3 linked regions of the Nothobranchius furzeri genome follow. The protein of the gene in region 1 purifies or fractionates together with the protein of each later gene. This does not show direct contact. Links are inferred from orthologs where the notes say so. Each region holds a gene or a part of one and is shown on either strand. Other genes may lie near its edges. The genes, in order: ints6, serine/threonine-protein phosphatase 2A catalytic subunit beta isoform and ints11.

Region 1 (3,757 bases):
GTACTTCCGGTCATGTTCGGTTGAGAATTTCGCAAAAAAGGATCAGTAATTTGTGCGTGCGTGTGATAACATTTTGCAAACGCTTGTATATTTTTCACAATGTTATTGCAAAATCTGGAAATCTAAGCAATATTACCCTCACTTTTTCCATTTCCAAACCACTTCCTCCTTAGTTGCAGGTTGGTGTTGTCTATCTCCAGCAGTCATTAGCTGTGGGGGAAACTCTGGTCTCAGTCCATCTTTTTCTACATCCATCACAAGAACACACAGGTAAACCACCAGTCCAACACACCCAGGAATACATTTTCAAATGCTAATCAACTAACATGCATATTTTAGGCCTACAGAAGGAAATAGTATTACCTGAAAGGCCACCGCCAGGATTTGAACCTACCTTCATGCTGTGAGGCAGCAGTGCTACCAAAATCGCTACCATGCAGACTGAAGAAAGAATTTTTGATGTCCTACCACAGGATTACTTTTATTTTGAAAAACGTGTCAGTAACAAACCGGATGAACTATGTGCAGTGCGATAGGACGACAAAAATAAGATAGACCATCCTTCCCTCTGCGATCACAGCCACTGGTTGGTTTCGTCTTGTTTTTGCGGAAGTGTTGATGTTTTTGATCGAGCTGCACTATCTCACTCAGTGTCATGTGGCATGAAAAGTGAACCATAAACAGGATGGTGACACTAATATATCTAGTAGTCTACAGATAATTGTTTATACATATAATCAACTTAAACAGCTCAAAAGTACACGCACAATGACTTATTTGGTGTCTTGATTTTTATATGTTAGTTCAAAAACTGTAAAAATAACCCTTCTGGTCGTTTTGTTAGTTAAAATCTTTTATATGATCATCACACAGTGTCATGATTTCAGTGTGTTGTTTTCCTTTTCTCTAAACAAATGGCTACCTTCCTTAAGTTATAATCTTACAACATCCATCTCAGCCTGTACTTTTTATTTTGTCTTTATGGGTTTCCATTCACACTGGCCCACGCCCGTGCATATATGAGGAAAATGTTGATTATGCAATCACTCCGCAGGGCAAAACACAAGGCTGTTGATAACTGGTGCTAAAGAAAAACAGCTGGGGTGTTCCAAAAAGGCTTTTCCTACCACATGTGTCGCGTTACTAAACACAAAATGTATGTGAATAATATTTTTCCCTGCATTCCTGTCATTTGGTTAAGCAAGCATGCGCACTAGAGAACTAGCTTTGGCCTTATTTGGATATGTTAATAAGTGGCTTCCTTCAACCAATCAAAAGCTGGGTTGATTGCACGTGACAGAAAAAGAGCGCTTAGGAGGCGGGGTCAGGTGCGGGGCTTCATTTAAAAGCAACGGAGAAGACACAACGCATTCAGTGTAGGGAGAAGCAGGGAGTCACTATGAGGGGGAACTTTGTTACTATGAAACTTAGGAATATTTACAATATATTGTAAAAATTATCAAAATCCATCGTAAATCATTAACCTGCCCCAAGGTTTCGAGGCTTTTAGCTTAGTTTTCCCGGAATGGGCTTCTATACTCACTATTCTTACACTTTTTTGAAAGAATGTGTGAGACAGTTAGCCAGCTAGCTAGCTAGCTGAGGGGTGAGACAGGCGGCAGGAGAACAAAAGATTTTTTTTGCGTTTTGGCCGGTTGTACTGACACCAAGTCCATGCAGAACGTGTCATTACCATCACAATGCCCGTTTTACTTTTTCTGATAGACACGTCCGCTTCAATGAACCAGCGCACCCATCTGGGCACTACCTATCTGGACATAGCAAAAGGCGCTGTTGAGACTTTTATGAAGGTACTGTGACCACGGGACACATTCATGTTGGGAGATCCCAAACGGGATTCTAGTTCGGATTATCGTTGTGCTGTTGCAAGTTCGCCTTGTCAAGCCGAGATCTCCCAGTAACCGTAAATCATTCTCTATTTTCCACAGCTCAGAGGGAGAGATCCGGCGAGCCGAGGGGACCGGTACATGCTGGTAAATTTTGAAGATGCTCCGTTCGGGATCAAGGTAGAATCTGCTTTCGGGTCATGTCCAGCTTTACATTGCGCAGATTGACTGTCCTCCATCTCCCCGCCGCCTTGTGATCAATTGTTGTAGAGAAAATCTCCAGGAGGAGCTTTCATACCCCTTTTAAAACATGGCCGACATTTTATTTCAGTGCGAGCAGCAAGGAACTCTGGGTGTTATTTATACAGAGAGGTGATATGAGAGAGGGAGGGAGGTGGAGGAGGAGGGGTGACGGACAACTAGACTACTTTAGCAGAGAGAAAATTGCCGCTTTTGTCCCGAACACGCTGCGACCGTGCCACATCGTCATGTGTGATCCGAGCTGGTGTCACACCAGCAGCAGAGAGGATCCAGGCTGCGGCGCTGATCTTCATCCCAGCTAAATATCATCATACTTCCACATTAAAGCTGGAAATAAGTTATTTAAAGTAGTTTAGTGACCAGAACAGTAGCTTTTATGAATCACGTGCTTTGTTTTGTCCATAAAGGCTGGGTGGAAGGAGAGCCACGCCACATTCATGACAGAGCTGAGGAACCTCCAAGCTACTGGACTCACCACTGTTGGACAGTCCCTGAGGACATCTTTTGATTTACTCAATCTCAATAGATTAGTGACTGGCATAGACAACTATGGACAGGTATGTAGTCCCCTGGAAATGTACTAAACGCACCCACAACAACCCCACTCCCCTGCCCCAGTCCTACAAGCATCTACTACCCAAACACACCCCTGCAGTCACACACAAACATAACTACCAAAGAAGCAGGGACCGATTATAAGTCCAGTGTTTCATGCTATAATTTTAAAATGTCTTTTTAGTCATAAAACTTAGATGCAGGTTGCAAAGAGGCTAATCTCATATGCACCAGATTATATTTCTGAAACAAAATCTAGCATAAGCCCATCTACTTCAGGACCACGGGGCCCCGGAAGAACGAGAAAATGAGTACAAGTCAATGAGGCTAAAAATGCTATTTTCTGATCCCGTATGGTTTTCACAAGACATCCGTGAAATTTAACATTTTGATGCCAAGAAAGCTCTTATTTTCAAACGAGGGCGAAAGTTATTTTAGGTCTTGTGTGAAACGTTCAGGACTACAAGTACGCATTACGAATTGACATCGAACCAGACATGAACAGAAAAAATGGCTGTACGTTCTGCGAATGTCAAATCCTTCTTTCAGGAGGAAAGAACTACTATAAATCTGGCCATGTGAGAAGTAGCAGCTACGCTAGGGGAGAGGATATTCTGTGATGACATCATATACGATATGCGGTGTACTGACGTCTGATCTGTAGTCCTAGTATTTACGATAAATCTCAAAACACGTGACAGGCGTGATCCAAACACATCAATACTTTTCATTGAAATACAACATATGTGCGATCCAGGGCGTAAAGCAAAGCGGATTAGAAAATAGCTCTTTAAGTCCCGTGGACTTGCGTTCTTTTTTTGTTTTGTTCTTCCGGGAACCCATGAGCCGACCGGAAAACTTAGACTCCATGTTGTTCTAAAAGTTAATATCTTCTGGCACATGGATGCTGAACTGCTATCAATTTGGAGAATTATTAGACTGAATCCAATTTAAAATAGCAGAAAACAAGTTTCATAATGAGTGTTAAATGCTTTAACACAGATGAGAGCTTGTTCTAGTTTTTATATTTAGGAAAATCTACAGTTTCACCTAAAAGTCAGCAACACAAGCCAAGATAAGTTTCACTGAAACAT
Region 2 (2,986 bases), on another chromosome or scaffold:
GAAACCATTACTGGATTTTTATTAAAACCTGTGGTGTTTGGATCAGCTGATTCTGGGATGTCGGGATTGGCTGTTAGCAGGACGAGTCGAGTCATGTCAACCTGAATGGAGCCAATGTTCTGGGTTTTAGCTCCAGTTTAAGGCTCTCAGCTTGTGGATTGAGGGATCAAAACAGTAATGCCTTTAGTTTCTGGTGGAGAAGGTTACAGGAGGTCATCTGTTCCAGCGTCAAACATTTCATGAGGACAAGCATTTGGCTCCTTCACAATAAAAGCGGGGTGCTTGTCTCTGTGTTCAGGTTCGTTTCCCGGAGCGAATCACCATCCTGCGAGGAAACCACGAGTCTCGACAGATCACCCAGGTGTACGGATTCTACGATGAGTGCCTGAGGAAATACGGCAACGCCAACGTGTGGAAGTACTTCACAGACCTGTTTGACTACCTGCCACTCACCGCGCTGGTGGATGGACAGGTGGGACGGCCAATGGGGGCGTTGTCTGTATCTAACTCTTTTCACACGTGTTGAATGGAGTTAATGAACGTAAGAAATGAGAGTGGAGGGAAATTCAAACCTGTTTGTTTTTATTTCAGATCTTCTGTCTCCACGGAGGCTTGTCTCCTTCCATAGACACTCTGGATCACATACGAGCTCTAGATCGCTTGCAAGAAGTCCCACACGAGGTAGGAACACACGAACGCACCTTTCTAGTCTCACAAACGCAGAACCCCACCATGTTCAGGGGCCTGAAGTCCGAAGCACAGAGGCCACGTGTGCTTCAGATGGGAGTCTGACCTAAAACCACATGAACCTGAGTCGCTTAAAGGTGCACAGAAAGGATAGCCCACGGTCAAAATAAGACTCAAGGTTTCACCACAGCAGGGTATCCGCGGGTCCTTAAAAAGTCTTAAATTTGCTTTTCTAAATTTAAGGCCTTAAAAATCCTTAAAAATGACAAATAATCCTTAAATACAGTTTTCAAAGGTCTTAAATTACCAAAGACCCAATGAACAAGAATTTCTAGTTAGTCTTCAGCATTTTTTGTGTACGATGTTGGCGTAAGCGGAACCGTACACATGCAGTTGGTTGTGAAAGGGGGCTATTTTTAGATGAGCACATTAGCTGGTTAAGCTAGTGGGAGCTTGCGCCATGGGGAAGGGCAAGTTTAATGGTAACTGGATGGCTAATCCCACGATCGTGGCGTGGTTAGCACCAGTTCCAGGCAATAGCTGGAAATTATAGCTTAAATTTAATTTTAATAAATAGCTTAAATTTGGTCAAATTGGCCTTAAAAAGTCTTAAATTTGGCTCCCTTAAACCTGCAGATACCCTGCACAGTCTGACGTTTGTTAACTCACTCTTGTTTTTACACAACACAACATCGGTCTAGTCCATCTGAAAGCAGGAGGAGGTTTGGAGACGAAGGCTCTAAAAACCGACTCCGGAGATCTTCTCCATCTCAGTCAAAGACCTTTGTTCAGCGCTGACTTCCTGTCTGCTCTCCCTCAGGGTCCCATGTGTGACCTGCTGTGGTCCGACCCAGATGATCGCGGTGGGTGGGGCATCTCCCCCCGAGGTGCCGGCTACACCTTCGGACAGGACATCTCTGAAACCTTCAACCACGCCAACGGCCTCACGCTGGTGTCCCGCGCCCATCAGCTGGTCATGGAGGTAAAACTCGTGCAACAGAAGGACATGATGTCCACTGCGTGTCCTTCAGTCAGACTGGACAACTGATGTTTGTGTTTTAGTTGCAGATGAACCGGTTTTATTATAAATATGTTCAAATGTATCATGATGGATTTATTTTTTTTCAGATCCGCCAGATTTGAAGCTTTAATCTTTTTAAATGTTCTGACTTTTAAGTTCTTTTACTCTGAAATCAGGGGCACGTTTATTTATAATTAATGAGCTCTGAGAAACAAGCCTCAACTTCCTGTTTCCTGTCTGACACTGTAGGTCACATGACCCATCAGTCAGCCGGGGCCGGTTTTAACTGGACTGGTTTCTGTTTCTTAGGGCTACAACTGGGGTCATGACAAGAATGTGGTGACCATCTTTAGTGCTCCGAACTACTGCTATCGCTGTGGAAACCAGGCGGCCATCATGGAACTGGACGACACTCTGAAATACTCTTTGTAAGTAAAACAAAAGGCTTTCCTGCAGGTTTAAAGGCCGCGAGGGCCGAGAGGCGCTGCTGGAATGAACGTGATTTATTCCGACGGGGTCGGGGTAAACTTTAGCCGAGTGAAGTGGTTTGTTCTTCAGTCAGATTCTGTAAACGGCAGCTAGACTTTAACGTGTAAAAGCTGAGATAAATGACACAAAAGGCACCACTGAGGTAAGTGTTTCAGGTTCTTTCATGTTTTTAGATCACATCTGATTTCAGGAGTAAATGCTGAGTGAAGGAAAACGTACTCCTGTTTTAACCGGCAGTAGTGATGGAATCTGTGTTTCACAGGATGTACTTGAAGGCACCACAGCGGTTTCTGAATAGAAAAAATCTGTACAGACTTTTAGTTTGTTGGGAATGTTTAAACTAGGGCTGCACGATATTGGGAAAACCTGCGGTATTCGATAACAGTGATTAATACTGCGATGGCGATATTACAAATAAATAAATAAATAAATAAATAAAAACTTAGCTCAGGAACAAAAATGATCAAAAACAAAGAAATTAAAAATTCATGAAAATGAGAAAAGCAAAATATGTGAGGAAAGGGAAAAAGAAAATTAACAAGAAAAGACAATCAGTGGACCCCATCAACATATAAATATTGGACAATGGGTTTCCATAGGCTCCAATATCACGTTTTTGAGGACAAATGGGAGGTGGCCACCACCGCCATTTTGACCGTGTCACAGGTTTCGTCAAGCCCAGACAATTCCACAAAAGGGAAGAGAGGAGGAGCTGAGGGTGGGGCTGTAAGGCTGGGATCAACTGACGACACCCGGTCGAACTAGCTACAACCTAACCCAAAGCTAACG
Region 3 (3,657 bases), on another chromosome or scaffold:
TGCTTGAATTTGTTCTGCCATGCTTTGGAGGTGCTATTGCTAATGGTTAGCTTCTTCCATCCAAGGCTTGCTCTTCTTTCTTGACGCACAATCGTCACAGCCTTCCATAGTCACAAGCCAAGGTGGGCGGGGCCATGAACACTCATTTTCCTAGTGACTTGGAAGAGACTGGCTTTGCCTGACTTGCTTTATTTCCTTTCTGCAGCCAATTTTTCACGTTCAGCATGCATGTGCAACTCGGTCATTGATCATATTTCAAAAAGAACAAATACAGCATTATGTTCTAAAAATAACCTGCAATAAGCAAAATCTGCGATGTGGTCAGTTACATTTTTGTAGCTGTAATGGAATAGAGTGACGAAACTATCTAGAGTTGTATTTTAATACACTGTAAGTAGATCACTTTTTATAAACAGAAGAATAGGCTGTTTTTATCATCAGGGAGTTTAATTAAACACTCTGTATTGACTTTGAGACAAGGAAAGAGAGAGAGATGGGATCGTTTGAGAATCTTTAATTTCTTGATTATAAATTCTAAACAATCTACCAGGACTAACTCTGTGATGGATGAAAATGGATTTGGATGTTGTGTTGGTGTGTGTGTGTGTGTGTGTGTGGTTGGTTCAGACTCCTTAGGCTGACGTCATTGAATCTGGTAGTCTTTGTTATGACTAGATATCACGAGGCTTATAAAGTGATGACATGAGCCGCTATTTTGCCGTGTACGTACCCAGTGGGGGCCTCCCAGGTAGATCAGGAAATGCCAGGTCTGGAGACCTCGGATGTGCGCTGGAGCTGTCGGCGCAGCGGTCGCAGCGTTTCAAAGCCCGTCTGGAGGGTCGACCCCGGTACCAATCGATGGCGTCAGCAGGTGCTCTTATTTTGAAAGGATGTCGTCTGGTTGTTAAACGACGAAAATCTCCAGCTTCACAGTTCTTAGTTTAAAGAAGAAAACACATCTGGCCAGTCTGTGCTTTCCTTTAGGATGACGGTGAATAGAACTGAAGTCAAAATGGAACTGCCTTAAAAATGGCGTTGCCTTGTTTTATATCTCTGAATTGTTGAAAGTTTTAGTAAAGCGGATTGGATACTTTAAGTCAACAAGCCAGATTCTCCTGCGGCAGCCGAAAGCTCTGATTGGTTGGAACAATGTGTCATGCGTTTCTATGGAGATGAGGATCAGTCTGTCTGTGCAATAGTCCTGTTTTCATTAAACATAAATCATGACATATTTATTTCACAGATCATTCACTTGATTGTTATTGATCAACATCTGTTTCGATTAGCTTTAATCACAAATTAAGTACTTTGATTATTGAAAAGCGTTCTTCTTCTCCTTCGGACTCTTCTCCTGGAATGTAAACAGTCTGAGGAACACCCGACCTTGGCGTTTTCAACACGGGTGTAACTGTGCACAGGGGGCAGCTGTGTGGAGCTGAAAATAATGAACTTCATAACCTTACATAGCATACATGGTTATATTGGGGTCACATACACGAAAACGCAGCAAATGTCCGTTCCCAGCACGTGTGCAAGGGTGAACTGTTTTATTTGCACACACTCGCTTCATCGTTTCTGTTTCATGTCGTTACGTCGTAGAGACTCATGTGTCTCCTCCCCTTGTATATAAAAACACAGCAGCCCTGAATACCAATGCGCTCCAGCCGGGGCGCAGTGCTCCTCTCTTCTGCAGACGTGCTCGTCCCAGAGCGCCGCATCAAGATTTTAAGGCTGTAAAACCCCCTCACTACACACTTTATACCCTTTTCTCAGACAGGCTTTCAACATTTTCACACTTTTCTCTCTTGTTTAAATGTGTAAAAACCCTCTGAATGTGAATGTTCTGTGTTAACAGCTGGACGTGAAGCTGCAGGTAGAGTACATGTCCTTCAGTGCACACGCAGACGCCAAGGGCATCATGCAGCTCATCCGCATGGCGGAGCCTCGGAACATGCTGCTCGTGCACGGGGAGGCCGCCAAGATGGAGTTTCTTAAGGGCAAGATTGAGCAGGAGTTCAGTGAGTGTAGTCCTGACCTTCAGCGACCTGGGATTTTTGGTTTTTATGTATATCAACAGAGAGGAGTTTCCAGCCTGGTTAATACGTCTGATTTTAGGCATAGACTGTTACATGCCGGCCAATGGAGAGACAGCGATGGTGACGACCAACCCCAGCGTTCCTGTGGACATGTCGCTCAACCTACTGAAGAGGGAGATGGCTCTCGGAGGTACGTTGCCTGCCTTGTGGTCGGCAGTGGTTTTAGTTTAGCCTGCTAACAAAGTTTCTCTTCACATTTCTTCTAGTCTGACCTGACATTTGAATTTCCTTCGCTTTGATTGAAGTAGTTTTTTTTTAAAACCTAACACCTCCGTACAGTACGGCGGCCCAGATTAGTTGTCACGATAAGATCAACCGACTAAAATCCAGACTGTTGCATGTGGCCCTTCTGATGTGCTTCAGGCATGCAAGAGCTGCTGTAGTATTATTTTATTAGGCAAAGCAAGGCAGCTTTGCTTATAAAGCACACACACACACACATATATATATATATATATATCGTGGGGCGACGGTGGCACAGGAGTTAAGTGCTCGCCCCGTAATCGGAGGGTTGCAGGTTCAAGTCCCGCTCAGTCTGTTGCTGTCGTTGTGTCCTTGGGCAAGACACTTAACCCACGTTGCCTGCTGGTGGTGGTCGGAGGGACCGGTGGCGCCAGTGCTCGGCAGCCTCTCCTCTTGTCAGTGCGCCCCAGGGCAGCTGTGGCTACATCGTAGCTCATCCCCACCAGCGTGTGAATGTGTGTGTGAATGGGTGAATGACTGATTGTGTTGTAAAGCGCCTTGGGGGGTTCCAGGACTCTAGAAGGCGCTATATCAAATACAGGCCATTTACCATTATATATATATATATATATATATATATATATATATATATATATATATATATATATATATATACGAACCCTGAGGAGGAGTTGTTGGTTTTTTGGTCTCGCTCTCCCTGTGTTCGGCGTGGTTGCGGCCAACAGCAACTCTTTTGGAGTCATTAAAAAGACTAAAGCATAAGTGAGCGCCTCCGACTGTTATTGTGTCCGTGGGGACGCTACAATATTTATATATAATTTTGTTTTTAATTTATTTATTTACAAAAGTGTTTATTTATTTAATTATTTATTTATTTATATGCATATAAGTTTTAACGATCATTATTTCACAGTAAAACAACAACAACCGCGCAGATCTTGGGTCAGTCATTCATGCTTTCATTACTTCACGTCTGGATTACGCGAATTCTGTTCTGATTGGGATTAATGCCTCAGCCCTAAGCAGACTGCAGAAGGTTCAAAATGCAGCGGCGAGATTTTTAACCAACACCGACAGACGCATGCACATCACACCCGTCCTTGCAGATTTACACTGGCTCCCAGTCAAATTTAGGATTAACTTCAAGGTCTTGTTATATGTTTACAAGGCTCTACTGCCCATCCCCATCCTTTCTGACGGACCTGCTGACCCCGTATGTTCCCACCCGTGCCCTTCGATCAGCAGATCATCTGCTGCTTGTTGTTCCAAAGGTTCGGTACAAATCACGGGGGGAGCGTGCCTTCTCTTACGCAGCCCCAAAACTCTGGAACTCTCTGCCCCTCCGTGTGCGTCTGGC

Evidence for each region.
Region 2: the proteins of ints6 (region 1) and serine/threonine-protein phosphatase 2A catalytic subunit beta isoform purify together in Homo sapiens (affinity purification with mass spectrometry; 3 studies listed by BioGRID and IntAct, with this or other methods). This does not show direct contact. The link is inferred for Nothobranchius furzeri from reciprocal best matches to the Homo sapiens genes INTS6 and PPP2CB.
Region 3: the proteins of ints6 (region 1) and ints11 purify together in Homo sapiens (affinity purification with mass spectrometry; 3 studies listed by BioGRID, with this or other methods). This does not show direct contact. The link is inferred for Nothobranchius furzeri from reciprocal best matches to the Homo sapiens genes INTS6 and INTS11.

Annotation. Positions count from the first base shown.
Region 1 is NC_091754.1:31,095,673-31,099,429, forward strand, and holds the start of ints6 (integrator complex subunit 6), read left to right. Parts: upstream 1-1,473; 5' UTR 1,474-1,700; coding exon 1,701-1,811; intron 1,812-1,949; coding exon 1,950-2,027; intron 2,028-2,515; coding exon 2,516-2,665; intron 2,666-3,757. UniProt on the Homo sapiens protein: Component of the integrator complex, a multiprotein complex that terminates RNA polymerase II (Pol II) transcription in the promoter-proximal region of genes.
Region 2 is NC_091750.1:36,858,930-36,861,915, forward strand, and holds part of serine/threonine-protein phosphatase 2A catalytic subunit beta isoform, read left to right. Parts: intron 1-298; coding exon 299-472; intron 473-591; coding exon 592-681; intron 682-1,507; coding exon 1,508-1,669; intron 1,670-2,017; coding exon 2,018-2,136; intron 2,137-2,986.
Region 3 is NC_091755.1:39,112,274-39,115,930, forward strand, and holds part of ints11 (integrator complex subunit 11), read left to right. Parts: intron 1-1,855; coding exon 1,856-2,018; intron 2,019-2,115; coding exon 2,116-2,226; intron 2,227-3,657.